Rhinolophus ferrumequinum: one gene and its partners. The protein of the gene in region 2 interacts with the protein of the main gene of each other region in a pairwise test. Links are inferred from orthologs where the notes say so. Each region holds a gene or a part of one and is shown on either strand. Other genes may lie near its edges.

Evidence for each region.
Region 1: the proteins of GIT1 (region 2) and HMOX2 interact in a two-hybrid assay, tested with the Homo sapiens proteins (2 studies listed by BioGRID and IntAct). The link is inferred for Rhinolophus ferrumequinum from reciprocal best matches to the Homo sapiens genes GIT1 and HMOX2.
Region 3: the proteins of GIT1 (region 2) and C14H8orf33 interact in a two-hybrid assay, tested with the Homo sapiens proteins (2 studies listed by BioGRID and IntAct). The link is inferred for Rhinolophus ferrumequinum from reciprocal best matches to the Homo sapiens genes GIT1 and C8orf33.
Region 4: the proteins of GIT1 (region 2) and PPFIA4 interact in a two-hybrid assay, tested with the Homo sapiens proteins (2 studies listed by BioGRID). The link is inferred for Rhinolophus ferrumequinum from reciprocal best matches to the Homo sapiens genes GIT1 and PPFIA4.

Annotation. Positions count from the first base shown.
Region 1 is NW_022680357.1:5,677,023-5,684,237, forward strand, and holds the start of HMOX2 (heme oxygenase 2), read left to right. Parts: upstream 1-4,207; 5' UTR 4,208-4,348; intron 4,349-7,215.
Region 2 is NC_046304.1:18,058,027-18,065,767, forward strand, and holds the start of GIT1 (ARF GTPase-activating protein GIT1), read left to right. Parts: upstream 1-4,732; 5' UTR 4,733-5,005; coding exon 5,006-5,057; intron 5,058-7,741. Other genes in the region: ANKRD13B (ankyrin repeat domain-containing protein 13B), read right to left, coding at 648-761. UniProt on the Homo sapiens protein: GTPase-activating protein for ADP ribosylation factor family members, including ARF1.
Region 3 is NC_046297.1:73,370,532-73,377,867, reverse strand, and holds C14H8orf33 (UPF0488 protein C8orf33 homolog), read right to left. Parts: upstream 2,466-7,336; coding exon 2,460-2,465; intron 2,372-2,459; coding exon 2,326-2,371; intron 2,227-2,325; coding exon 2,045-2,226; intron 1,851-2,044; coding exon 1,766-1,850; intron 1,624-1,765; coding exon 1,477-1,623; intron 1,109-1,476; coding exon 969-1,108; 3' UTR 511-968; downstream 1-510. Other genes in the region: ZNF16 (zinc finger protein 16), read left to right, coding at 2,464-2,777.
Region 4 is NC_046310.1:121,595-128,784, reverse strand, and holds the start of PPFIA4 (liprin-alpha-4), read left to right. Parts: upstream 1-4,171; 5' UTR 4,172-4,311; intron 4,312-6,338; exon of another isoform or gene 6,339-6,497; intron 6,498-6,684; 5' UTR 6,685-6,762; intron 6,763-7,190. Other genes in the region: TMEM183A (transmembrane protein 183A), read left to right, coding at 1,098-1,283. UniProt on the Homo sapiens protein: May regulate the disassembly of focal adhesions. May localize receptor-like tyrosine phosphatases type 2A at specific sites on the plasma membrane, possibly regulating their interaction with the extracellular environment and their association with substrates.

The DNA of each region.
Region 1 (7,215 bases), on a different chromosome or scaffold from region 2:
GTCAGTGGTGCCAGTGCCAGGGGGCTGTGTGAAGTAGGTGGGCAGATTGGCAGCCTGGGCAAAAGTCTTGTCTTTTGAAACCTTACCCACTCTGTGGTCCCCTGAGACCTGAATGGAGAGATTTAGCTACTGACTGGTTCCTTTCTGTGGGACTTCTGTATCTGACAAAGGACCTCCTACAAAGCACTTGCCAGTTCACCCAGCCCAGTGACATGTACTAATGATAACAGTGGGAACCCTTTTCGGGGTTCCTCCTATGTGTCAGAGCACAGGTTAAGCCCCACATTATCTCATGTGAAACCTCAAAGCAACCCCTCCTTCAATCAGTTTAATTCAAGTGTGTGTGTGTGTGTGTGTGTGTGTGTGTGTGTGTGTGTGTGTGTGTGTTTGGGGCAGGGAGCAGTACAGTGTGTACTTCCCATTAGTCCTTTCTTAAAATTCATTAGTTTTCATTTGATTTTGAGAGCCAAGTAATGTATAATGCATTTATGCATTCTTATAAAAAATTTAAATGGTACTATAAATGAAAATTCCACAAGCCTCTTTCTAAGGGATAAAAAGAGAGTTTTATTCTGATACGATTTGCAAATCAGAGAATGTAGACTTCAGCATGAACTGAAGACACAGTCTAGGGTGGGAAGAATAAGGCAAGGGATTTAAAGGTGAGAGTTGTGAGGAGTTGCTGATCAAAGGGATGGGGTGCTGGGGAAACAAAACCATAAACTTACATCATTCATTTTTTGATTGGTGTGGGAAACTGGATTTTCAGAGGTCTGCTGAAGCACACGGGAAGACAAAAACCATGGGTAGTTTCGATTGACTCAAGGCCAGCAGGTACAGTTACGGATATGACCAACAGTTGGAGTCATAAGACACGGTCATCAGGGGAGGGGTGGGTCACAAAGCAGCGGCCAATGCCTTAGTTTCCTTTGGAGTCTGCAAAATAAAATATTAAAACAAGTTTTGTAGTGAAATGGACAATGCAAAGAATGCAGTTCATCAGGTAGACAGAGTCAGAGTTTAAACTGCAAAATGGCCTAGTCAGTCGAGCAGGGTCAGAGATCAAGTTGCAGAAGTGTCCAGATATTTGGCTACAAAATTATGATATTAGAATCCTTAGTACAGATAAAGCACAAGTAACCCTGGACCTCCTATCATTCTCGTGTGTAAACCTTCCCTGCTTTGGGATGCATTTGCATACCTAAACATGAACATGAAGAAAGATAACATTTTGTAGTTATAAAAATGAAAGGAGTCATACTGAATATTTTTCCCCAAATTTTATGATGAAAATTTGTAAACCTACAGAAGTGTTGAAACAACTGTGTAGTGAACACCCATATACTTACCACCTGGATTCTTCAATTCTTAACATTTTGCTATTCTTGCTTTATCAGATATCCATTTATCCCATCAACTGTCTTATTTTATTTATTTATTTATTTATTTTTTAAACTTACGAACTGTTTATTTCTGGAATTTTCCACTTAATATTTTCAGACCACAGTTGTTGACCACAGGTAACTGAAACTGCGGAAAGCAAAACCACAGATAAGCGGGGGGCGGGGGGGCAAAAGGGGAGAGGGATTTCTGTATTCAAGGACATGCCTTTAGTAATTCTTCCTTCTCTCTTCTCCAACATTAATCTTCCCCTCTCTACTGGATCCAGCGATTCTGGATCATTCCAATCATCATACAAGCAGGCCAGGATTTCTCTCCATTAAAAAAAAAACAAAACTCTCTCTTGACCTCACTTCCCTTCCAGCTCTTGTTCCATTCCTTTGCTCCTTTATAGCAAAACTCGTGAGCTAGTCACACTGTTTGCAATTCCTTTCCTCAATTTCTTCTTGAATCCATTCCAATCAGGCTTTCTGTCCCATCGCTCCACTCTGAACTGGTTTTCTCAAGCTCACCTGTGACTTCCACATTTTCAAATATAATAGTCACCTCTCACGCCTCATGTTATTTGACACATCAGTAACATTTGGCTCAGCAGATGACTCCTGAGACCCTTTCTTTACTTGGCTTCCAGAACAACACATTCACCTCTCCCTCTTTTCTTATTTTATTGACCACCTTTTCTCATGTCCTTTATTGGCTAACTGTCTTATTTTTTTAATGCACTTCAAGTAAATTGCAGATATCAGTACCCTTCACCCCTAAAAACTTGAGCACACATATTATTTAGGGTTCAATATATTTTTTTTAAATTTAGAAATTATATACCGGGGGTGCCAAAAAAAATGTATACACATGACTTGTATTCTTCTTTTGTTATTGGTATATATTGAGCATTACAGTTTTAATACAGTTATTTCCTTCTTAAAATGTGTATACATTTTTTTGGCACCCTCTGTTTTTTGGTATTTTCCTACAATTTGCTTTCCGTCTTTTACATAATGTCCTCCTACAAGTGGTGTCTACCCTTCCTTTTTAATGGGACACAACTCTATTGAATGGATGTGCCCTTGTCAATCCCTATTCCATCCTCTTTGGGTGGACATTTATGTTATTTCAAGGTTTTCACCAAAATGGAGTATCCTGGTACGTGTTGCAGTGACATTCCTTGCTTGTGCCTCTTTGGGTTCTTGCGAGTGTTTTTCTAGCATAGCTACCCAGAAGTGGAAGTGTTGGATCAAAGAGGATGCCCATTGTAAATTTTAACAGATCTTGCCAAATTGTCCCTCCTTCCAAGCCATGTGAATAAAAAGGGCTTCCTTGGCAAGCCTGACAAGCTCAATAACTGAAAGTAATTACACAAGATGTTTTGATCATAAAAAAAATACCTAACTGCTATATCAAACTAAAAAATTTTTGCACAGCAAAGGAAACCATCAACAAAACAAAAAGACAACCTACTGATTGGGAGAAGGTATTCGCCAATGATACATCCTATAAAGGGTTAATATCAGAAATTTATAAAGAATTCATACAACTTAACACCAAAAAAACACACACACAAACAATCCAATTAAAAAATGGGCAGAGGAACTGAACAGATATTTCATCCCAAGAGGACACACAGATGGCCAATGGACATATGCAAAGATGCACAACATCACTCATATCAGAGAAATGCAAATTAAAACCACAATGAGCTAGCACCTCACACCTGTCAGAAGGGCTATCATCATTAGATCAACAAACAAGCATTGGCAAGGATGTGCAGAAAAAAGAACCCTCATGCATGGGGTAGGATTCCAAATTGGTGAAGCCACTATGGACAACAGTATGGAGATTCCTCAAAAAATTAAAAATAGAGCTACCTTATGACACTGCAATTCCACTTCTGAGTATTTATCCGAAGAAATCCAAAACACTAATTTAAAAAGATATATCCACCCCTATGTTCATTGGTGGGTTGGCAGAGAAGCAGACGGCGGATTACAGATCATGTGGATCCCACTTCCTGTGTCTCCAACCCAGCCGCCAGCAAGAATATAGTGGTATGATCCCCCTATCCATAGCTCCCTTGGTGTTCCTTTTTGGCCTCACCATATCCTGCGTTCTTATGTGGGGAACGGGAGCCGAGACACCGCATGACACCCTGCATGACAGTACCTCTGTAAACTATGGATGTTAAACGTTCATTATCCTGCACCCACCAATGTAAAAGAAACATGTATCTCCATTTTACCTTTTATCCAGTCCCATAAATTTTCCCGCTTTACTTTCTCCCATCTCCTTAATCTGCCACCAATGGATTTCACGTAGTAACCTTTCTTAGGTTTTCTCCTTTGAGTCTAACGTACAAAATAAACTGCAAAACTGCTATTCCTCAGAGCATTATCTCAACCCTTTGCGAGTTTGCTTCAGGGACTAGCTCCAAAACTTTGCCTCTAATAAACTCTTTAAACCTTTCTTTAGGTTTGGAATTTCTTTTGTGGACACCCAATAACTCCCAGAAACACCACAGATTTCCCACAGTTTTGCCAACACAGGCATTACCAGTCATTTAATCTGTAGCCAGTCCGATGGTTAAGGAAATGACGAGAAGCCAGTATGGCTGGAACAGAAAGGGCAGGTGGAGCCCTGCAGGAGATGAACCTGAAGAGGTGGTGACATTGGGCAAGAAAGGCGCGTAGCCCAGAGGCGTCCTCAGAAACATCCGCTCTTATCATTGCCAACATTCGGATGCACCCCGACGTAACTCGCAGACTTCGGCCTCTGGAGAGGAGCCACGTGCCCGCTGCAGAGGCGTGTCCTCCGCAGGCCCCGCCTCCGCTGCGTGGGCACGTCGGACCGCCCTCGCGCCCTCCTGCTCGCCTAGCTGCAGCGGTGGCGCCTGAGAGTCACAGCTTGACGGGCGGACGCAGTACGGACGGCCGGCCGAACTGACCCGCGGCTGGTGAGTGGCCCCCGCCATCCCGGGGCTTCCCTCAGGCTCCTCGGCGGGCCTTGAGCGGCCTGGGCCTTCCGGAGCTAGCTTTCGCCGGCCGCAGCCCGCTGCGCCCCCGGCGCCGGCCTCTGGGAGACCCGGCGGGCCCGGGCGGGGGGCGGCGGAAGTGGGGTGAGCGGGGAGGGGGTTGGGCGTGGGGGAACCCCGCTTCGTAGACGAAATTTTCCAGGGCGGGGGAGACCCTTCAGGCCCATTGGCGTTGGGCCCCGTTGGGTACCCCCCTCCCGGCGTCGTGACTGCGCTGGGTGAGGTGACCCCGAGGTCGCAGCCGGTGACCTGGCGTTCTCGGCGGACGTTGTAGCTTCTGACGGCTCAGCTGACACGTCTGTCCATCTTGGGCCTGCGAGAACTCGGGCTGCCCAGCGCCGGAGATGGGTACCCGGCGTGGCGGCTTGTGCTGGGCCGTGGCTCTGCCTTTCCTCCTCCTGACTCACCTTAGTCAGAGGGGCCCTTTTAGTCACTCTGATGACTTCATGAGTGACCCGCGGCCACCATGGTGCAGGTCGGATTGGGAGGGATCAACGCCAGGGGCAGCCGGTCAGTCTGGGCGGGGAGTTTACCTGTCACCTCATCAGCACAGTGGTCTGGGTCTGTTAATGTCCCGGTAGGAGCTGCCATGACCGCCTTGCACAGTCTTTGCACGAGGCTTGTCTGCCATGCCATTTAAATTGGTTCTGATGAACGTGTTGTGGCCTGTGGCCGTCATCGTTATTGTGTTGTTTACGGCTCTATGAACCAGACGAGGGGAGCATGATTTAAAAAAAAAAAATCGTATAGTCCTCTACCGTTCAGGAAGCCCTCTCGCTCTCAGCCCCTTTCAAAACCCTGTGATAGTTTTCCCGTTTGTCAGTGGGGTTAGTGATGAGACGGGGGTTAAGTGAAATGATCTGCACCCCACAACCAGGAAGGTGGCACAGTTGGTCTTGAACTTGGTCGTCTCTGACCAGATGGGATGCTCTTTCCTAAACAGAGTTGTAGAATTTGGAGATGGATTATGTGATTTAAACTGTCTTTCCCACCCCTCTAAACTGTAGAAAGAAACAAGAGCTTACTGATTTTGTGTACGTATATGAGATTCTGGTATGGCTTTTACCAGTGTGTTTTGATTAAAATTTTAACTCCCATATTTTAGTTTTTCTTCTGGGAGGAGGGGGATTACACATTAGTAAATCTGTGCTTTATTCATTAGTTTTTTTTTCAAGAAACATCGCAAGACAAAACGTCACAAGCTTACCAGGAGCTCACAGCTTAATTGGGCATTTACAAGCTTACTTGGTGAAATTGGAAAAAGTTTTCAAACACAGTGCCTAAGCCAGAACACTGGTGAGAAGTGGGAATTTGAGGGGCCTTGGAAACACACACTGTTTAAGTGACCTCATCGAACTGGGGATGTGAAGAAGAAAACCTGTGATTCCCTCATTGTCTGACTTGATTTGATTGTTCCCTTATTCTCACTGTTCAATGACGTGATGTTAAGGAGAGTTCTTTTTTTCAAATTGTATGCTTGAGTATCTCACCCTGTGTAAAGCCTACAGATACACTGACTTTTTGTGCTTCAAAATGGTTGAATTGCTAAGTACAAAATTAAGCTAATCGATCAATTTGTAACCATTTTTTCACTCACAAACGGTTATTCCACACTAGACAATTTTGTTTCACATGTATGTGTATGTATCCAAATACATATATATTCATTTACATTAGAGTGAAAAACAAATAGTTTGCTTCTTCCAAAAAAGGAAGTTGTGGTGGTATATTTTTGACCATAGGAAAAACATTGAAACCCTTTGAGTTGTAGTTTCTGCATCTGAAAAATTAGGTTAGCACTAGATGAGACTTAAAGTCTTTGGTGCCTTGAGTGCTGCTTATTGATATGAGACAGGTTCCCAAACATTTCTGTTTCGCTAAGTTTGGGATTGGGCCTAGAAATCTGTGTTTTTACAGTTTCCCATGTGATTCTTGTTTGGAGCACTGTTGTCTAATGTACAGGCTGTACAGGGAGAGAATGGACTGGCAAGAGGGTAGAGGAGTATGATACATGAGGAAAGGGAGAGCAGAAGGGAAAGAAAGGGGTGATTGTTACATGGCAATAACTGCTGTCAGCTTAAACGCCAGAGGCCAACAAAGAAGATACTCTCTTCTCTCTGTTTAGGGGAAAAAATTAATTTTTTCACACGAATAGATTTGTTTCCTTCCCAGGAGTATCAGAGGCCTAATTATTGTTATAGTTCTCAGTAACTTTATCAGGGCTTTGGAGAAGAATGGAGTAACAGAGACAGGTGTCTTGCACTCCACCTGCCTATTTCTAAATACTCCCAGCTTCCTGCCTTTCTCCTGATGAGTTATCTCAGTCTCAGAAAACTCAAGTTTCACTGTGTTGTATTCAATCTCAAAATCGCTTGAAGGCTGTGGAAGGCACTAACATGAGTAAACAATCTGCCATCATGCTTTTTTCTAAGCCAGTTGGCTGGCCTGCCTCATCAGTCACTGTGATGATAATATTTTTTATGCCAAGCACTCGTACCCATAGTTTGAGCAGACAGGTAACACTGAAGGACTTGATTGCTGGGACAGGATATTTGAATCAGAACTGTCCTGGAAAATCTGGAACACAAGGCTGTATCTTCAGCACTGTTGTCTATGTTGCACAAAATTATATTTCTACTGTGGTACATACACCTATTGTGTTGTTTCTCTCTCTCTCTCTCTCTCTCTCTCTCTCTCTCGATTGAAAGCTACTTGAAGCTACATGGTCTTATGCCTTACTGTAGTCACAGAGCCCATAAACAATATAAATATTTGTTGATGAGAATATG
Region 2 (7,741 bases):
GAAGCCAGGCCCCAGCACCAGAGGGCAGGAGAGCGCCTTTCAGCACCTGGACAAGGCTCTGGGGCTTCCCCAAGAGGGTCTCTCTTTGTCCACTCCCCAGTCCTGAGCCGGCTCTGGGGTCTGAGGGATCCAGGGGCTCTGCCCAGTCTAAGCAAACAGATTAAGCACTCGCCTTGAGGGTTGAGGGCAATGGGTGGGGCTGAGATGCCTGGGGGTGTCACACAGCCTATTCTCTGATCCTGGACTTGTGACCCCCCCCACGCAGGCTTTGCCTACCTCCGCACACTCACGCGGGAGGTGTCGCTGCTCCAGAGTGGGGCGGACTCTCCCACCACATGGAACACAGACCTAGCCGGCAGTCCCTCCCCCGCAGCCCTCACGACCCGGCGGGGAAGGGGCACAGGATCCCCTACTCCAATCTGAGAGGATCCGGGACACGTGTGGGCCGCCGGTCCCCGCTGGAGAGGAGCCCGGCGAGGGCCGCTCCCATCACCCTCTCCCGGTCCACAAGCACAAAAGCCGCGGTTCGAACAAAGAAGCGCTGCAAACTCGCCGGGGAGGCGGGACAGCCCGCGCCGCGCCCTCTCCCCACGCTGGGCGGGCGTGCCCGGCCGTGGGGTCCCCGCGGCGCCGGACGGCGCTCTTACCTGGCCGGCGCGGACCTCTTTCTCCAGCTCGCGGTGGCGGTTGTGCCACACGAGGTAGTGCAGCGGGTACTTGCCCTCGGGCCCCTTCTTGACGGAGGCGTTAGCGGGTATCATCGCCCGCTCCTCATGCCGGGGCCACGGCGCCCGGCCCGGGAGGAGGCAAGGCGCCGAAGACGGGGCCCGGGGCCGCGGGGTGGGGGGCCGGCGCTGCCTGCTCGCAGGGTTGCGGCTCAGGCATGTGCGAGCGGCGCCGGCGGGCGGGGGCGGCGTGCCCGGCGCGGTGCGGGTGGCCGGCGTCCTCGCGAGGCGGCGGCGGCGACGGCGGGCGGCGTGGAGAGGCCCCCACCCGCCCCGGGAGGGAGCGGGCACTCGGCGACGCGGCTCCTACTCGCTCCTCGCCTCTCACACCCCCGCACACAAAGACGCGGCTCCACAGAGGGAGCAGGCTCCCGCAGCGGGCGCGGGGGCGCACGGGGTGCGGGCCCCGGGGACGCGGCCGCCGCCGCAGGGACGCGCGCCCGCAGCCCCCGGCTCCTCGCAGCCGCATAGCCCGGCCCTCAGCCCGAGCGGCCGGCCAGGGATGCGGGGGTGCAGGGGAGAGAGGAAGGGGACCCGGGTGCCCCGGGCAGAGCTTGTTATAGCTCGGCCCCGCGGCATCATGGGGCTTGTAGTCCACCTCGTAGAACTGGGGGTGGCGAGTGGCCGGAAAGGGTCCCGCACTGTCCCCCTCATCCCATGAAAGCGTGGGGAGGGAATCAGGCATGGCCGAAACGGAGGCAGCGTCCTAATGCCAGGTGGGCTGGGGCGCAACCCCACCGCTGGCATTTTGCCTTTTGCCTGTTCATGGAGTGGGAGGGGACTACAGGCCTCGCCTCAGCATTGGGGGGCGCGGAAAGGTGTGGCCTTCGAGATCGAGTTTGGGTCCCAGTGGATCGTGAGGGATCTAGATTCCCCCCAAAAAAGAGAATTATGTGGGACTCCTGAGAAAGGTGAGGGAGATTAGTACCAGGGGTTATTGGAGCAATCAGGGGTCTGGCACCTGAATAATTATATAGGAGTCTTCCGTGCCCTCTTATAAAATTAAACTCCATTTCCCACACTTGACATTGGAAAGAGAATGTCCACTAAGTCTGGGAGGACAGTGCCCCTGCTCCATACACTGTCCTCTGCATGGACCAGAGTGGGGTTGGGCAGAGAAAGCAGCAGGTGGCAGCTCCCCATCTCCACCTTGTGTGATCCCCTCAAGAGAGGAAGTGACTGATTCCAGAGACCGACTGCTTCCTGGATAACCCCAGGGTAGAGAGGTCCTTCCAGAAGGGTCCCTGAAGACTCTCTGGTAAAAGTGGATGTTATCTCTGCGGACGCCTATTGCAAGGGCCGCCCTATTGCGAGGGTGGGAAGGACCTAGAGGCTTGGCCCAATCCCTGGAGGGAGGAGGGGCTGAGATGTTAGAGAGACCTGCGTTCGAATTCTTTCTTACTAATTGCCTGACCTTAAGCAAACTGCTTCTATTTTCTGGTTTCTCAGACCACTCACCTCTAAAATGAGACTTCCTCCTGGGGTGAGTTAAGGATAGTAACTGCCCTGGAAACTGCGCATCCCTCCCCTAACCAGGCGGACTGACAGGTGTTGGGGACCAGGCATACAAACGTAGTGCCTTCTCGAGCCCATCTTAGAACAAGACAGGAATAAGGAATTCCACACCAGCCCTACTTAGAACAATCTAAGAAGTGTTTGTGTGGGAGGTGCTAGCAAAAGCTTGCAAACTCTCCGCGCCTTTCTCAGGTTCCTTTGTGTGGTCTTCTCTCCTTCCTCCTCCACACCCTGCAGTGCCAGGCCGGGGCGGGGAAGGATGAGGAAGGAGTGGACTGCCTCGCCCCTTTCCCCAGCCTGGGAGGAGCCAGCCGGCGTCTCTGGCAGCCGGGGACCGCTGCCCACCTCGACCACGAGGGGTCAGCAAAGTGTCGTGGCTGAAGCTGGAATTGGGGAGGGGGCTGGAGCTGGGGAGGGACGGCTAGGAGTGGCCGGTGGAATGCCTGTACATTTCCTTATTAAATTGTTTTTAGAACGTTGTGTGTGATTTCTCTTTAACTGTCCTGCTTCCTGAGGTGACGACATCTCCAAAGGGAAATCCTGAAACCCTTTTATCCCTAGCCCCAGGCCCAGAAGTTCGGCTGTGGCGGGGCGGGGGGTTTCCGGAACAAAGTTTGGAGAGTGGATCTGTGCCTGGGCCACTCCCAGGTAGTCCTGGGCCAACCAGATGGGTCCGGGACTATGTGGGACAGGGTGAATCATCCTTTTTCCCCTGAAGTTTTGGAGCTCAAGGAAGGAGGGAACTCAACCTGGATTGGGGGGCCTATCCCCTCCCCTGGGCAGCCGGCTCTCTTTTTGCCAGGCAGCCATACATACACTCTAAACCCAGGTCGCTTTTCCTCGGGCCTGCGCGCTCCAGCTGCCACGTGCTCTAGACGCGCCCACACAGCAGAGAAACAAAGACGGCCAAGCGATGGGGCTTCCAGCAGCCGCCTCGACATTTAATAAATGAACTTCCATAGCTGGGGGTCGATCGGGTAAACCGGCGTCCACCGCTGGTGGGCTGGGCGCCGGGTATGGGCGGCCAGGCCACTCCCCCCTTTGCCGAATCTGGGGCCACCAAGCCTATGGACTGACTCCTCCGTACGGGTGCAGCACTGGGAGGCAGGTGTTGCCCACCCCCACCCATACTCCGCGAGGTATCCTTGCTGGCAGAAGCCCTGCCAGCCAGCGGCTGGCTGTGGGGGGAGGGGAGGCATACAATATTTTTTTAAAGGTGTGATTATAAATATATCCCGTGGATCGCGATTTCAGACAAACTTGTCAATCTCGGCTGCAGCGAAAGGCGATGGAGGCAGCTTTGCATGTATTTTGGGTGATGTGACTCATGAGCATTACTTGTCTACCCCAGGGAAGCAGCCAGTACACCCACAAGTCACTGCTGCTCTGGCACCGCCGGGATGAAATCGACCAACTCCGGCACCCTTGCCCAAGGACTCCCCCCACCCCTCACCCCACTCCCACCCCGGTTACAGAGCAGGATTCCCTGCCGCTTGGGAACTCTCCCTTAATCGTGTCACCACTGATCTGGTCCCCAGGCCTGGCCCTGGGAACCCCTGCCCTCCCCCCTCCCCACAAGCAGAGTGCTCTGGCCTTTTGCTGCTGCAGGGATGGGGGCTGGGTGCACGCGGGGCACACGTGTATGGGGGAGCATGCTCAGTGCCGGGGTGCACCCACGTGCGGCATGCGCCTCTGCTCCCTGTCCCCCACCACCACCCCGCCGAGTCTCTGTGTGAAGTCCAGGAAGAAAGGCTGCTACAAGAAAAAGTCCCTGTATGTTACACACACATGCCATGGACACACACTCTGGTGGCCCAGAAACACTATACATGTATACAAGACGGATGACAAGTGGATATTACTGCACACAGGCACAGTGGTCACTCCTCCGGAGGTCTTTAAAAACCGCCCAGATTCTTTCCTCTCTGGATGGAAGCATTGAGAAAGGCCAGAGATACAGCGATACACTGCGTGACCTCTCTGGCACCTGGGCGACCATATTGTTGGCGGTGTGCATAGTCAGCAAGGGTGTGACCACACACACACCTGGACACGCAGATGTGGGCACATGCGAGACCAGGACGCACACCTTACCCCAACCAAAGATAAGCGGGTACCCCAAACCACAGCCCCTTGACGAGGAGGGGGGCCTGAAGTTCCAGCTCCTTCCTCTCTTCCCTGATTTCCAGGGGCCGCGGTCCCAGCGCCCGACCTCCCAGTCCACCCCCCATCTCGAAAGTGAAAGGGCTGTGAGGGAGACTCACACTACCTCCGGGGCAAAGGAGCGCCAGAGCTGGGGCCAGGGCCGCAGGCGACTCTGCCCGCTCCAACCCCGCGGCGGCCGCGGTCCCTTTAAGCGCTCCCGCCCCCTCCCGCCCGCGCTCCCGGCTTCCTTTCTCTGGGAGGCGCGGCCCGCAGGGCCGGTCGGCGGGGCGGGTGTGCGGCCTGCCCCTCCCCCGGTGGGCAGGGCCTGCGCCGTTTCCTGCAGGAGCGGCCGGGAGCCGCGCAAGGGGCGGAGAGAGCGAGAGGCGAGCGGCGGCGGGGCGGCGCGGGGCGGCGCGGGGCGGAGGGCGCCCGAGGGCGAGCGGGCAGGCGGGCACGGCGGGTTCCGGGCCAGCCCCGAGGGCTGTCGGTTGGCCGGGCGCGCGGAGCCTAGCCGGGGCCTTGCTGGAGCCGGGCCGGGCAACAGGGGCCGCCGCCGCCCGGGCCCGCCGCCCGCGCCCCCCACGCTGGCCCAGAGGGCTGCGGCCGCGTCGCCGCTGAGGATGTCCCGGAAGGGGCCGCGAGCGGAGGTGTGTGCCGACTGCAGCGCCCCGGGTAAGCAGGGCCTGGCCGGGGGCGGGACCGCGTACGGAGGCCGCCGCCCGGCGGGCGCCGGGGCCTGGCGGGAGCGCCGTGCGGGGCCGGAGGGCGGGGTGGGGCTGGGGGCTGCGGCCTCCCGCCTCCGGCCTCGGCCCCCTCCCGGGCCACTGCGGAGCCGCGTCCTTGGCAGGAGGGCCGGCCTGGGGGCCCCCTGTTCCCTTGCGTCCGCGGACAAGCGAGGAAGGACATTCCCGGCGCCGCCTCCCACCCCTCAGTCTGAGGGAGGCGGGCAGCTAGCTGCTCCCCCCCCATCTCGATATCCAAACGGAAGCGCCAGCCTGGGGTGGCAGGAGAGCTGTGGCGGAGGCCGGCAGGGTTTAGGAGGTGGGGGCGAGTGTGGTTTTGTGTCATCTCAGTGCCACCCCCGCGTCTTGCACCTGCTGCTCGCATGGTCTGCTGGCCCACTGGGGTGGCGGAGGGCAAGGGGCAGAGAGCTGGGCAGATGGGCGGGGGTGGGGGTGGGGGCTTGGATACTGTTTCCTAGCGAGCAGATGAGGGGGTGGCTACTCCTAGAACTCCCTGCCCCTGCCTCCCAAGGCTGGGGCTCCTTGCAGGGCCTGATGTTCAGGACCAGAATGAGCCTGGGCATCTTCCACCGAGGCATCCCCAGGTCACTGGGTGACTGGGAGCAACTAGACTTGGCTTTTCCTGTGCCCCAGGAAGGCCTGCTTGGGAAGGTGGCTTGGTATTGCCCCAGCTTGGGCACAGACCCATCCTGGTCCTCTAGCCCAGTCTGGCCAGAAATGGGTAGGAAGCAGTGCGGAAGGGTGCCTCCATCCCAGGATTCCGTTGGCTTCCTGGCCGTATTTACTGTGGTCTTTCCCTTCTCCCTCCCAGCAGAGTCAGGTCCAGGCTGATGTGAAACCCCCCTGACCTGCTGAGGAAGTGAGGAGCAGTGACCCGAGAGGCTGCTCCCTTCTGATGTGGGAGGACGCTGCCAGTGATGGGCCTCAGCAGCTGGCCTGGGGAAGGACGCCCTGGCCTTTGTCCATCCTCTCGTTAGAAAAGGAGCTGTCTGCCCGGGAGGCTTTTGGGCAGGCTCGGGGGGTCTGTGAACTCTCGGGGACTGTGGGCACACTAAGTGGGAGAGTGTGGGGTGCTATCTTATGGGCCCATAACTTCCAGCCACACTGTGGACAGGCCCAGGACCACAACAGGTTGAGATCCACAGATGCCCTGGTGGTTCTATGGCTCCAAGCTAGAGTAGGTAGGAACTGTGGGTACCTGGCAGAGGCAGAGTGCTCTGGGGGTGGTCGTGACCCCGGGACCTCCTCTCAGAGCGCGCCATGATCTAGAGAGCTCTGAGGAAGCTATCTGGGGGGTATGTGTCCTCACCCTTAATTAGCTGGAGACTATGATCCCCTTTGCCCCAAGCACAGGCAGGTCTGGGGATGGAGGGACTCAAAGGAAAGCTTGCCTTCTACATATGTGTCCCAGGCTATTCTACACCTCTGCTGGGTGGGTGTAGCATGGTGGGGTGGGCAACTGGGATGGGCAGGGGTACTCTGAGCAGACATCCTATCGGGAGCCTGGATTTTAGTGGTGCCTTTATTTCCTTCTTACTCTGTGACCCATGGCAAGACTTTCCTCACTCTTGGGCCTCAGTTTCCTCAACTGTGAAGCAAAGAAGTTGGAGTAGAAATGGTTTTTAAGGACCTTCCTAGCTCTAAATCTGTGGTCCTGATTCTGGGCTTGAGGGCCACAGGACAGCATCAACATGGCAATTGTCCTTTCTCCATGTCATTTGACTGGCTACAGCCCCTGGGCTCCGGGAGGAGTGGTGTGCATCTGATCTATTGGACTGCCCAGCTCTGTCCCAGTCCTTCCCACAGAGGCATTTGTGCCCTGCGTACCTCCTTTTCCCCTGATCCAGGATACAGGTCAGGAAGAGGCAGCTGGTGAGAAGGTGAGGATGGCGAGGTAGGCAGGGTGCTGACAAAGTCTTACTCATCGCCCCACTCCAGCACCTAGCATGGTGTCTGGTACAGAGCAGGCAGCTCCCAAGTGTTTGGATGCTTGTCAGGATCCCTGCTGGCTGCCTGGGGCTACCCCAACCCCCCCCCCCCCGCCCCCATATGATACGTGGAGTGAGTGGCGTTCTCAGTCTGGGAACTATAGCAGCCCCAGTAAAGAGCTGGAGGGGAACCGAGAATCTGGAGCCCAGACCCAGACCGCCTCCCGGGCGTGTGCCTCCCGCCCAGCATCCTAGGCTTCTCACTCCCTCTGGTAGGAACCCTGCAGCCCCAGCCCGAGGAATGGAGTTGTGGCTTTTTTGTAGTTGGTTCATTTGAGGGGTTATGGAGGTGAAAGGTGAGATGCAGCCTGACCCCAAAGGTCCCCATTCTCCCTCTGCTCCCAGGTCTGGGCACATGGGATAAGCGTATGTAGTGAGGGAGCTGGGCAGGGCTTGGCTGCTATGGCAGCTGGTGCCACCTCGGCAGGCACCATCTGTGTCCCTGCCTGCCTTGGGGGTTCAAGAGAAGGGGCAGGGGTCAGTAAACCTGGAGAATGTGTGGGGCCTCCTTCTTTGCCCTCCACTCACCCTGCCACACGGTCCTGGCCCAGCTCTCAAGGGCCCGCTCCTTACCCCTGGGCCGCCGTCTTAACCTTTCCACTTCGGCAGGCACAGGAGTGGAGAC
Region 3 (7,336 bases), on a different chromosome or scaffold from region 2:
CCGGCTGGGCAGTAGTACCGGCCCCTGAAAAGCAGACAACGAAGGGGGATTTGGGGCTCATCCCGTGTTCTCAACGATGCCTATGAAACGTCAAAGTAGAGCTGTACAGTGCACAGCTGGGCTCCAGCTATCTGTCTGGTCTGGGATATGCCAGCAAATATGGCCTGCAAGCCACAGGAGGCTTAAGCCACCTGGGAAAGCCGATTCAATAAAGCACAAGCCCTGTACGGCCACGTGGAGCAGCCAATATTCAGAGGTCGTTCACTGAGGCTCCATCCAGGCTTCTCGCCAGGATCCTTAGGGCTAGCAGCTCTCTGCTTCTAAGAACAAAGCCTGGCCGGCTGGGGGGCCACACTGGCTCCCTGAGGATACTTGCCCAGGAATGAAGGCAACACAGACCAAGCACCACAGCTGGGCTGAGCGCCTGGGCCCAGCAGTGCCAGACACCTGCATCATCTGTACTTGGTCTAACACAGGCAATTAGCACACACGCTCATTCATCAATTTTTACAACAAAACAGTTTTATTAGGGCAATATGACACAAAGGAATAAAGCACTACCCCATTTGACAGGACGGCCTTTCATAAGTGAGCACCAAAGTGCAATTATGCAGCTTCCCCTCACCCTCAGCCACTTAATCTAACCCTGAAAACTAAGTAAGACGTTCTTTCCACCACACACTGCCACTCACTTCAGTTTGCTGTAGAAATCTCTCTAGATGGACCTTCCTCTCGGGCGGGAGGAACCATTCACCTGAAATCCTACTAATAGGGTCTTGTGCTTGTATGACACTACTTAATACACTGGTCTCACATCTGCCCACCATCCATGGAACCACATTCACCGACCAGCCGGGGAGAGGCCAATCCCACATCCGTCCAACGGAGCATTCCTGGAAATGCTCCGCACGGGGGACAAAGCCCCACACCACCTGGGGAAGGGGACTGTACCAGGATGGAGAGAGAGGCTAAAAGAAATTGAACTTAAACTCTTCATCAGGAGTGTCCAGGGTTGCTTTGGCTCCCCCTGCTAGGCGAGGCCTGCAAACCCTCCGGCTCTTCTTTCTGGTGGCCTCACCTACAGGCTGCACCTGGGCTGAGTGTGCTGCTGTGGGGGAGGGGAGCGTGTCAGAACTGAGTGATAACAGCTCATGTTAACTATGCCCCTACGACGGTAACCTCTTTGTATAAATTCACTGACCTACTTCTCAAAATTATAAGGCAGGTATTATCACACCTCACTTAACATCACAGAGAAATTCACTAACTCTCCTATCCCTCCCTCCTTGGCACAGGCCCGAGTTCTGTGCTCCTGAGGTGCAGGCTTTCTCTCCCTGCTCCCCCAGGCTTTCCTGAGCCGGTCTCCTTCCCTCACCGGCCCTGTAGCTCTGGGAGTCTTCCTTTAACTGCCTCACCTCTTCCTCCCTACCCCCTTGAACTACGCAGCCCTGAATTAACCAGTTCCCAGCTCCTCACCAGTCCTGAGAGCCCGCAGGACCTCGCGCCACTCGGCTTCCATCTTAGTCCTGTAGTCCCCAAACAAGGAGCGCATCAGCTGCCTCTTCCGGGGCAGGGGTGTTCTTTCGCTGCGCAGGGCTCGGATTGCCCCAATAGCTTGCTCCCCTGCCGACAAAAACAAAGGACTAGGGACCTCCTCTATCCTCATTTCCAACGCAAAACCACCTATTCCAACCCTTGGCGGCACTGGCAGGACACAGCACTGTCACCGTTCACCTTCCCCCAACTCTACAGAAGGGTTCCTCACTCTGTTTTGGGCTGGGTCTCTGCGTCTTGAGGCCCAGTTCCAACTGCTCCACGCACCAGGCCAGTTCTCGAGCCAGCTGCTCCGCCTGTGATGGGTTGGGGACAGTGGCTGAGAGGGTACTAGGACACTGCGGCCTCCACCCTCATCGCAAGGGACCCAAAAACCCCCATCCCATCCCTCTGCCGTAACTCCGCAAATCCGAGACCACAACCGCTTGGAGGACTCGCACCTAGAATGCACCCGGGGACCCCACCCTTCCCGACTGAGCACTGCCCTTGCCTGGGCCTCTGCGCTTAGAGGAGCTTCCTCCGGGGCATGCTTTTCTGAGGCCTTTCCGTCTCCATTCGACACGGAGGCCCCGTTCCGGGTTTTCTTCTTCTTCTTCGGCTTCTTAGAAGCTGCGCCGCCTTCACCGACTACGGGATGCGCCCTGGAGGCGGCGTCACTGCACGTGGGGTGCCCTGAGCAGAGACGGACCGGATGAGACCTTAGAGTGGAAGGACTCGGGGCGCCGGACGGCGGCCGGGAGGCCCGGGGGCTGCGCGGCGCGCGGGCGGTACCTGGACCTGGTGCCGCCGCTGTCTCCCAAGCAGGGTGTCCTAGGGCCTGGAGAGAGGGAGGCAACAAGAAGGTCACGGGGTACAGCCCAGGCCCGGAGGCCCAGCCACCCGCGCCCCCACTCTGCTCCGCTCACCGCCATGCCCCGCGGCCGCACCGGAACTCATGCGGGTCCCAGGCCTAGTTCGCTCCTCCAGAAGCGCGTCCGCGTCGCAGCGTTCCGCCGGCGCGGTGGGCGGGGCCGAGCGGCTGCGGGGCGGGACGGGACGCGGGAGGGCGCAAAGGAGACCCCCGAGCAGGTGTACCACGTGGCAGGCCGCGCCCTGGAGGAAAGGGCAGCGCCCGAAACGAGGGCGCGGGCTCCCAAAGCTCACCTCCCAGTGGAGCGAGACAGGCAGGTGAAGACACGTGAAAAGTTGTCACGCAGCCCCGCGCAGCGCTGTGAACACAGGCGGTGAGTCGGCATCCCTCCGGGGCAAGCACTACCAGAGTGATAAGCTTAATGATAAATACCATGGAATCTAAAGGGAGGTTTGAATAAAGGGAGAGACAGTCTGCATTACTGTATTGGAAGATTTCATATTGTAAAACCACTGATTTTCCTCAAGCTAAGCCTATATATAATCCTTACCAAAATCACAGTAAGACGGCCTGGCACTTTTAAAAAAGGACTTCCCGAGGCAACAGATGGCAGGCCTGGTGGGGCTGGTCCCCGGCGAGAAGGAGGTGGGGGCAGGGCCCTGGGTGCTTTTATTCCGAGCGAGGTGGCGGGCGCAGTGAACTAACGCAGCCTCCCACTGTCTCTGCAGAGTCGGTGCTCGGGACACAGGCGCACAGAGAGCTTTGGGTGTTGGCCCAGCGTCACTGCTGGCCAGGACTGACCTGGGATGGTCCCTGGCAAACTGGCCGGACTCCCCATGCCCTTTTCTTCCTTTTTAGAAACACTCTATTAAGGTATGGTTAGCGAGAATGTTCTGTACACATCGAAAGTGTACAGTTCGGTCGCATTCTCACACGTGCATGCTCATGAGACATTGTCCACTGCAATCAAGATAGAAACGGTTACCCATAAGTTTTCTCGTGTCTCTTTTTTTTTTTTTTTGAAATTCTTGCACTTTTTACTATTAGAGAGTTCTAAGACATTACAAAAGTATTTTTCTTTTTAACCCACATAAGAATTATAATATGCAGAAGAGATGAGAGATTTTTCTTATACAGGCACATAACTGTGCCTCAAACTGTAATTGCTTTTAAATTTATGTTATTATCGCTCTAAAAAGAAAACAAGAAGAGAATCCTGTGAAACTCATAAGACATCCCAGGTGCTTTCAAATGATTCCATTTCACACAGGAACTTCTAAGCAAGCACACTATCGTGTGTGGGTGGGTATCATTTATTCACTCCTCTTCTTCATCTTGTAGACCGGGTGAAGTTAGCTAGAGAAGATCTCGGGAAGAGCACTCATGAATGGAGAAGCATATAGCTGAGTCTATGCATTTTTCTTTTCATTGTCAAATTAGCTGGTCTCTGTACATTGATAAGAAGACTCATCATAAAAATAAAAAATACAAAAAAGAATTGTTGAGATCTCATTTGTTTGCCACACGGAAGTGGTGCAATAGCTCTCAAAGTAAACCACACTTCTTTGAACAGTCTTGTGCAAAAGCTGTGTGGCTCTTCTCACATTCTAATGACAAACCTCAGAGAACTGCCAGCTGTGTTTTCTACAAAGGTTAATCTCCTGCCTCTTTATAATCCCTCCCTCTCACCCCTTCCCTCTTCTGTCCTGAAGCAAGTACTGACCTGCTTTCTATCACTGTAGATTACATCTTGTAGTTTCATCTCACCGGAATTACAGCGTGTGGATTCTTTTTTGTCTGGCTTTTTTTGATTCGACACAATTATTTTCAGATTCATCCGCGTTGGGTGTCGATAATTCTTTTTTTTTTTTTTTAATTCTGATTAGTATTCTGTTGTATGAATGAATATACCACTATTTGTTTATCCATTCTTTGATTGACATCTGGATAGCTATCAGTTTTTAATTGACACAAATAAAGCTGCTGTGAACATCTGTGTACAAATCTTTGGATAACCATACGTTTCCTTTTTTCTTGGATAAATAACTAGGAGTGGAATGGCTGGATTATATGGTAGGTGCATATTCACCTTTTTAGAGCAAGGCCTGATTGTTTGCCACAGTGCTTTTGCCATTTCACGTTCCACGTCCTCACAAACACTTGGGGTGGTCAGTCCTTTTCATTTTAGCTGCTCTGGTAGAGGGGCAGTCGCATCTGTTGTGGTTTTGATTTGAATTTCCCAAACAAGGAGATGTTAAAATTCTTTTCATGTGCTGATTTTCCTTCTTTCTCTTCATTGGTGAAGAGTCTGTGCAGATCTCTGCTGATTCTTTAGCTGGGTTTTTGTTTTCTGACTGAGTTTTAAGGAGTTCCTTTCTGAATACAGGAATGTTCTAGATACAGGTCTTTTGTCAGGTACATGTTTGTGTAGATTTTCTCCCACTCTGTGCTTTGTCTTTTTATTCTCTCAACAGTGTCTTTTGAAGAGAAGACGTTTTAATTTTTTTCCAAACAGTTTTATTTATTTAAGTGTGTATTTCAAGGACCCGTCAGCTCCAAGTCAAGTAGTTGTTTCAGTCAAGTTGTGGAGGGTGCAGCTCACAGTGGCCCATGTGGGAATCAAACCAGCAACCTTGTTGTTAAGAGCACCACGCTCTAACCAACTGAGCAAGTCGACTGCCCCGACGTTTTAATATTCGATCAAGGCCAGTTTATCAGTTTGTTCTTTTATGGATTGTGCTTTTGGTGTCCTATCTAGGAAACCTTTGCCTAACTCAGAAGATTTTCTTCTTCTAGAAGAAAATTTTATAATTTAAAAGTTTTAGGTGATATGTTTAAGTCTGCAATTCGTAATGAGTTGACTTTTGTATCTAATGTAAAGCATGGATTCAAGTTTAATTTTTTTACAGGTGGATGTCTGGTTGTTCCAACACAATTTCTTAAAAAGACTATCGTTTCTCCACTTGCCTTGTCTTTGTGCTTTTGTCAAAAATCAGTTGTCCATCTCTGCGTGGGTTTATTTCTGGACTCTGTTCTGTTCCATTGGTACACTGTGGACAATGTCTTTAACTCCACATTGTTTTGACTACTGAGACTTTATTAAAACTCTTAAAATCAGGCAGTATTAGGCCTCCCTCCAACTTTATTCTATACCCTTAGAGTAATTTTGGCTACTGTAGGTCCTTTGCATTTCCATATGAATTTTAAACTCAGCTTGTTGGTTTCTGTGTGGCCACATAATGGAACTCTCACCAGTGCAATGTGAGTGGAACCATGTGGCCAGGCCAGAGCCTCCACTCGGAGTCTGACGACAGACATGTCCGTGAGACTAGTGTCAGACACACTGCTCCAGAGGACAGCAGAGAACAGGACAGAAAATCAGCCTCCGAACAAGCAAGTCAAACAGAACCCACCAAACAGGGACCCTGCCACATGAGGAAAACAAACTTCTATCTCATCAAGCCCATGCATTTGGGGTCTATGACACACATGGGGAAAACCCTACGAATGTTATGAATGTGGAAAATCATTTAGCCTGAACTGAAGCCTTACTGTTCATCAGAGAATTCACAGTGGAGAGAAACCCTATAGGTGTAATGAATGTGGAAAAGCCTTTAATCGGCGCCCACAAGTTATTGAACATAAGAGGATTCACACTGGAGAGAAACCTTATGTCTGCAGTGACTGTGGAAAGTCATTCAGTGCTTGTCTATCCCTTATTCAGCATCAGAGAATCCATACTGGAGAAAAACCTTATGGATGTCATGAGTGGAAAAACCTTCCATCAACAAGGACATCTTATTCAGCATCAGCGAAATCACACTGGAGAGAAGCCCTATGAGTGTAAGGAGTGTGGAAAGGCTCTCAGCCATAGTTTTAATCTTATTCTCCATCGAAAAACACACAATGGTGAGAAGCCCTATCAATGTAACGAGTATGAATAAGCCTTCAGCGTGCTCTCGTCCCTTGTCCAGCATCAGAGGGTACATAATGGAGAGAAGCCCAATGAGTGTCATAAATGTGGGAAGGCCTTTAGTCAGGGCTCACACCTAATTCACATCAGAAGACTAACACTGGTGAAAAGCCCTATGAGTGTCGTGAGTGTGGGGAAACCTTTGGACAGATCTCTACCCAAATTAAGCATGAGAGAACACAATGGAGAGAAGCCCTATGGATGCAGTGACTGTGGGAAAGCCTTCAGCCAGAGTGCACACCTCATCCACCATCAAAGAATTCACACCAGTGAGAAACCTTATGAGTGCAGTGACTATGGGAAGGCCTTCAGTCAGCATTCACAGTGTATTCAGTACCAGAGGATTCACACTGGAGAGAAGCCCTATGAATGCACTGCATGTGGGAAAGCCTTCCGACAGAGTTCTTACCTTATTCAACATCAGAGAATTCACAGTGGAGAGCCACCTTATCGTTTCAGTCAGAGAATAACTGTTATTAGTCATGAGAAAATTTTTACCATCAACCTTGGAGAGCAAGTCTACAGGTGTGAGAAGTGTGGGGAGCTCTAGTGCACAGGCAGCTATCACTCAGCCTCACAGAGCCCACAGTGAAGTGTAACTGCTCTGTGACTTTCTCATGCTGAGGAGAAAACATCACTTTATGAGTTTCCTTTGGGAGATTCCACTCTTACAGATTGGACTGGCTCCCAGTGAGCTGCTGGCTGAAGGCAGGCTGCCTGCTCACTTACATGCAAAAAACTCCAAGGTGACACACCTTTCCCAGACCCAGAGGCTGGCCCTCTGCTCAAGTATTTCAAACAAGTGCAATTCAAATACGTGTATTTAGGTCTTTTTTTTTTTTTTAAAGATTTTATTGGGGGAAGGGGAACAGGACTTTATTGGGGAACAGTGTGCACTTCCAGGACTTTTTTCCAAGTCAAGTTGTTGTCCTTTCAATCTTAGTTGTGGAGGGTGCCGT
Region 4 (7,190 bases), on a different chromosome or scaffold from region 2:
TGAGAGTATTTCACCTGCTTTCTTCTCTACAGTAAAGAGAACGCTTTTGCACCTCCTGCGTAGTGAGCATCATGTTTGAGAGACACGACCCTGGGATAATGGTGGGCTGTTCGTGAGCTCTGTGTGTCGGGGCCCCCATGTGTGCGTGTGGTATCACAGAGGCAATGTTAAACCAGGGTGGCCCGCTGTGTCCTGGGGCTCTGACCCTTCCAGGCTCAGCTAAGAATTAGGTTAGTAAACAAGAAATATGCCTTTGGCTTCTCTTTTAGGTTTTTAACATTTCTAACTACGTTGGCAACTGGAGAGTCCATGTGATTTATCTTTGTACTTTAGGCTCGTTTCAGAGGTACATGGGGCTCCCCTCCACATTGAAAATGGCGTTACTCTTTTTTTAATGGTAAAGTAGATAATACATACTTCATGTAAAAAATTTAGATAATGCATAAATACATTGAGACAAGGCGACTTAGATTTGCAGTAACCTAAAACTGAGATTAACCCTTCAGGAACTATTCTTTGTGTCCCTTTGTGCGCCGTGGACGTGTGCGCACCCACTCCCTTAGGTGATCCTATATAATTGAGATCCCGTCATACACGGTCCTTTTATCAGCACCCCCTGCTCCTCCCCACCACCGCCCCAGGCCAGGCCATGCTAGTGGCTTGGTCCTACACTGCCCGTACCCTGTGTGCTGTGCGTTCACACAGCTCTGTACTGACCACATGTACACAGAGACTTGGTGTATTTTCCAAAACGTGGGACCAGGTATATGTTTCCTGCATGTTGCCTGACTCGCTCCATAGTGTCTCATCAGAATCCCTTCATGTCAGCCCTTTCAGCTCTAACCCAATTTTTTAAAATGAGCTTTGGGGCTAGTCTGTGCAGGTACGCTAACTTACTCAGCCACCTGGGAGGTGCTCTTTAGCATAGTTCAACTGAAGAAGCTAAGGAGAACTTGTACAATCACCCTTATTTTTTATACTTTTGCAAAGGTGTCAGGGCCTAGCCGTGTATATTCTGTCCCAACTGTGTCACTTCAGAGTGAGCCGGTAGGAAAACAGATTGTTTGATCTGGGTTCCGGATTTGCTTTCCCCCCAGTTCACCATCAGCGTGAGCACGGACATGCGGCACCATCGCGTGGGACTGCTGTTCCAGGACGTCCCTGTCCATGGCGGTCGGAAGCTGCGCAGTGAGCAGGGCGTGCAAGTGATCCTGGACCCCGTGCACAGCGTGCGGCTCTTTGACTGGTGGCACCCGCAGTACCCCTTCTCCCTGAGAGCCTAGCTCTGCCTCCGTCCTGAGGGGTCAGTCCAGCGTGGGAGGGGCGGCCGCACTGGAGGTCTGCTTAGGGACGCACATGCTCTCGGCTTCCTGGGGCTCCTGTTAGGGGAAGGAGGAGGTGGAATCACGAGGAAAAGCAACTATGATTTCTGAACATATTTTAATGTAAAAATTTCATTTGAAGAAACCTGGCTCTATTTTCTGCGTTAAACCCCCTTTGGTGCTATTGAGTTTGTGGTCTTTATTCTTTTATCCCAGTGAAAATGGATGACTTTGCTCTAGGGGAAAATTAAACTCTGGAATCTCCAAACCAGGAAGCTTCAGCGGCGCCTTTGGCTCAGAGGAACCTGAGAGGCCTGGATTGTTGCTACTGTTACTTCAGTTTAGCTGCCCCTCAAATTCACGTGAATATTTCCCCCTTACCCTTCTCCAGAAATAAAGCAGGTGACAGGGTTTTCACAGTCTTACAAGATTGGCTTGTGTATCTTTCTTCAAAAACAATTTTTGGAAGTTTATCGCGTAAAAATTCTTTTGCCAGTTTTGGATTTTAGGTGTTTTTATGAGAGCAGTGATGATAGTGACTTTCTGTGCTTGGTACAGTCCAAGGAACTTGAGACGATAGCTCTGATGTTCACAACCCTGCAAGGTGGGTACCACTGTCCTCATCTTGAATCAGTGACTTACCCAAGGTCTACCGGCCAGTGAGCGACAGCTAGGACTCTGGCCCGGGTCTCTGCTGTGCCACAGTTAGAAAGGTCAGTCTCATTTTTCTTGTGGTAGGTGGTGACGGGGGGTGGGCAGAGTGCATGTAGATAAAAAGTAAAAGGTGAGTAAAAACCTGATTGTGGTATGCCTTATCCCTAATGAGCCGGAAAGGTGCATAAGATTGATGAGAATCTTTTAAATATGTTTCTAAGTAAGGTGTAAAACGAACCAAGAACATACTGCAGAAAAGATAGTGGTATTTTTACTGAATTGTAAGAAAGACATTTGTTACACTGAAGGTCATTAAAAAAGGCACCCCATGTTGAAACCAGCCTCGTGAGCTCTATGCACTTTGCCACTTGCCCCGCCCTGCACAGCCCATCATCCCGTGTCGTCCCTGCAGAAACACTATTGTCCTGTTGGTCAGAGGACTTGCTGTAGCTGGTCCACTCAGAAGAGCCTCATGGGTGTGTTGTGTTGCTTTGTCTGGTTTTTGCTGCTTTCTCCCACCGCAACTTAGCCAGTGAGCTGGATTTTGCCAGGATATTGCCATGAGGTGGGCATTAAGGCGATATTCTTTAAACATGAACATCTTGTGGGGGCAGTTGTTACCATACTGCTAAATTGGTGTGTTGTTTCCTTGCCATCCTCCCTACGCCCTGCTATTTAAGGAGTAGTCTCAGGGAACATCTGCTTAACACTTTTGTTAACAGCTAACCTTACCTCATGCTGAGGGTGGGAGCCTGGGTCAGTGACATACAGAATCTGGGCATTTAAATGGTCAAACAAGACCCAAGGACAGTAAGCACCTTGCAAATATCTGCAATCAGAAGTTGCCTCTGAGGCAGGAGGAAACCCTAGTTCCCTGAACTAAAGGTTTCTTGGAGCAGAGTGGGCATGGCCCCAATTTAGGAGTTCCCTTCAAAGGGGGAGTGAAATAGGTTTGGCTTAATAATTGTGTTCTGACTCACCTGAGTTTTTGTGTCAAACTCCATGGTACGATGAAAGACATAATATTAGGTACGGCCTCAGCTGCTGTCTTAGCATAAGGTTGACGGATATTTGGTCAGGTGTGTTACCAGTAACCTTCATGGCCTCAGCCTCCCCTCTTCATTAGCTGAGTCACCTCTTCTAGGATGATTCATGGTTTATTAGTGAAAGCACAGGAAGTGTCTCAGGGATTTCCTTTTGATGAGACCCCCCCCACCTCACCCCACACCACCTGGAGAAGAGTTGGAACTTGCTGGACTACTTTTGTAAAATCTGTTTTGTAATTTTTACTTCCTTAAATCTATACTTTGATTTTACTCCGAGGGTCAGACAAAATAACATAAATTTAGCTTCATTTCTTACCCCCCAAGTAAATCAAAATTACTCAAATTGTCCTTTCTTCTACCAAACATACAAGGAAACTAAGCCAAATGGTGAATATATTGAAGGAAAGAAAATAAATGAAAGGTTGTTTGTGCCACTGATTTCAACTACAGCATTTGTTGCTGGTTAGGCGTGTGTGTGCCTATGGATGTACACACACAGCACGTGTATGAAATCCCTCCGCTTCTAGAGTGTGCGTGGGTTCCCTGAAGGCCTGATTGGGCACGGTGATGAAACTTCCCAAACCAGACGGCAAAGATGCGTATATAGCCACGGCACAGGGGAAGGAGCAAGTCAGGGAAATGGGGAAACTGAGCTAAAATGTGCCAGGAATTTTGGTGTGGACAGTGTCTTCACAGAATGTGTGTATAACAGACCGACATGTCGTTTTACAGTGTCAGCACAGCGACACAATTCATTTAAGCGCACGCTATGGAAATGTATATGGATTTCAAGTTTCTCCACTTAAAAATGGGTGTGACCAAAGGAAAATCAAGAAATGGGCGTGAGGGAGCAGGTGTGAAAGGTGACAAATCGCTGGCAACAAGGCCAGTACGGAGACCAATTTATGGACCTGGGTGATTCAAAGGGATGGCCCTGTATGCTGCGCCACCTGGAGGGAAGCTCCAGGCCGAGCGCGCAGCCTCACAGCCCTCTCAGGTCACGTGGGCTGGGCGGGGCGCGGCCTGGAGGGAGGTGGCAGGCCCCGCCTCTGGGGGTGGGCCAGAGCGCGGAGGGGGCGAGGCTCTGTGCTAGGCGGCTGCGGCGGCCTCTGGTCACGTGAGGGACGGGGCGTACCCCGGGCGGGGGCGTGGCCTCGAGTGAGGAGGCGGGGTTCGTGCCCCCGAGGCTGCAGCTGCTGGGTGTCGGGCGTGTGGGGCGTCAGGTCAAGGCGGCTCCTTGGCTGCTGCGGCCTCCGAGGAGCTGCCCTGTCTTGGAGAACTGCAGGCAGGTGAGCGTGCAGAGCCCAGGATGGAGAAGGATGGCTCTCTTCCCAGCTCCAGCTTCTGCACAGTTCGGGGAGGGGTCTCTGGCGCGCCTTGGGCAGCAGCCCCTTTTCCCTCCACAGGCATAGATGCTGCCTCTGTGCCGCTTCTCTCCGGACTTTGCAGTCCTGTGCCCTTGGGGTGAGCGTAGAGGCGATGTCCGATTTGCGGGGGGCGGGGTGGGGGGCGTGGAGTTCGCGCTCATCCATCAGCCTCAGAGGGGGGCCTGAGCGGCAGGTTTCCTGGAGGAAACCAGAGACGGACTGCACCTCCACCCCCCTAGGAGAGTCAGAGAAGAAGAGCCCCTGGGCTCCGGGGGCAGCTCCGCCGGGAGGCGCAAGCGGTGCTGAGGACTTCGCGTTCCCCCGGGGTGGGGGGGGGGTCTTCGTCTTTCCCGCGTCGCTCACAGCACCCCTTAATGTCGCCAGCTCTCCATCCTCCGGCTGCGAGACGCAGGCTGTGCCAGAGGCGCCCGTCTCCGCAGTCTGCTGAGGTGGGGGCGAGGGGGGTCGCAACTGGAAAAGGGGGAGAAAGAGAGATCCCTGAACTGGTAGGGTGAGAGTGGGGAGCCGAGTTCCCACCACGTAGTATGTTTTCCAGTGTGGATCCTGCAGCTTCTGACGGCCGGTGGGAAGAGAGGTTGGTTTGGAGGACTTGGAAATGCGATGTGGGTGCTTTTCTTGGAGAAGGAGGAGGAGGGGGGAGGACAAGGTGCCACTAGGTGCTGACGTCATGCTGGAGGTGTCCGTCTGAGGGGCAGGGGAGTTGGGCTGCTGCTTTGCTGTTCGGGTGAGCAAGTGGTTACCAAGGAGGGTGTGCTTGGCGTGCGGGTCCCCTCCTGCTGGGGGCGTAAGGCCGCCCTCCAGGAGCCAGCTTTCAGGGATCCCCTGTCTTTCCAGAGGTGTTCCACGCAGCAAACATTTACTGGGCACCTGCTATATGCCAGACGCGTGTTAGGTACTGGGTCTTCTGAAGGCAATTTAGAGCTGTGGGGCAGTTGAGAGGTACACACAGTCACACAGTAGGCGCTCTGTTAACACCCCTCCCCCCATTTTGTTACATTGCTGTTGGATTACAAAAAGATGGAACGGTCTGAACTGAATTCCAGCCTACCCACCCCCTACAACTATTAACAACCCAGGTCATCCCAAAGGAACAGTTGGGATTATTTCCGTTGGCTCTTTTCTAGGACTTTGTCCTGAGTCCTAGGACGCTGCCTGGGATAAAGGGGGTCTCAACATAATGAGATGGTGACTAGCACAGTGGTTACTGGGGGCCAAGAAGGCACTAGACACCTGGCACAGCAGGGACCCCATCTCTGGAAGGCAGAAGAGTGTGGGGGCTCAGTGTGGAAGGGCAATCTCACTCGGTGAGCATGTCGTGGTGTCAGCCTGGGCGTGTGTGTGGCCTTGCAGCTGGGTACCGAGGAAGGATTGGAGGGGCAGGGTGGGCAGGCAGCCAGGCTCCTGGGTGTCGTCCCTGAGTTGATTGCTGAAATCTTAGAGTTGGAAAGAGTTGTCAGGGATTGCTGTGGTCCTTTTGGAGCCGTGGAGGATAATGGGGTGAGAGCTCAGGGAGAGGATGAGGAGGCAGGCTGAAGACTCAGCTCAGGGCCAGGGAGCTGGGGACCAGAGGGCTTTAGGGTACGGGCGGGGGGCTAGCTGAGGCTTCTTATGCCCGGGACACTCCCCCGGGGCTTTGGGCCATTGGATGGGTTGCTATAGAAACATGGTGTGGTATGGAGTTGTGTGTAGTGTGTGCTGGAGAGAACGAGTTGATGTGGAGTCGGGAGGACCAAGGCGGTGACAGCAGCCTCCGAGTCCAGGTCCCAGGTGGAGGATTGGGAGGGAGGGGGGACGGGAGTGTACTGCAGCCACAGGAAGTCACCGTCTGTGCCCCCCCTGGCCTGCTGTCTCACTGACCTATAATTAGCTCTGAAAGGCATACGGTGCTGGCTCACAGGAACGCAGCCCTCTGGGTGACCATCAGAGTGGAAGTACTTGGAGGGGCCATGCTGCCAGGCTGCACGGAGAGGTCTCTGGGAACTGAGACTGTCGTGGGGGAGGAGCTGTGAGCTGGGGGTCTAGCTGCAGGGCCCAGCAGAGCCTGAGCCTGGCCTGGCCTGGCCCCCCCAGTGTCTTCTGCCCCCCAGGTGAGGTCAGTTCCAGCCCGGAGCAGGGTCCGACAGGTCTTGGCCGGGGCTGCTTCATTCTGAGAGCTGAGGAGAAAATCCTAGTGGTGCTCAGGCCGCCCCAGGCTGGGCCAGATGCTGGGTATGTGGTCAGTGCTGTTCTCTGTGTGGCTCTCCAGCCATCACTGTGTGTCTGTGTTCTCTCCAGGAGGCCGCGCTTCTCGAGGGCCGAGCCTGTATCCATAACCATTCCTAGGTCAGTACTGGATTCACGGGAGCCTCCTCGGTAAGTAACTGTTGGATGGAATTGAAGAGTTCTGGCTTCTGATCCCCTGGGTTCAACGAAGCAGGGCCTCTTTGTAGCCAAAAATAATTAACCTGGAGCAGAGGAGCCTCTGGGGACCCAGGGCAGGGGTGCAGCATGTCAGGGGGATTAGATCCTACAGGCAGTAGGGAAAGTGAGAACCCCTAAATCTCCATGAAGCGTGGTATATGGGCTTAGGTTTATAACTGAACAAAATGTTAAGTCCAGATGTAGTTAGTAGACCTTATATATCAGTTACATAAACACATAACGTATTCCATGATTTTGAAGAGTGCTTAGTGCAGTATAATTTTGTAGTCAGGTGTCAGATGAAATAGCTGGTTTGCTTTACAGGCCTTTATTCTTTTTTTGCCAATCAGCAGAGTTGAGTTCTTATAAAGTAAACACGT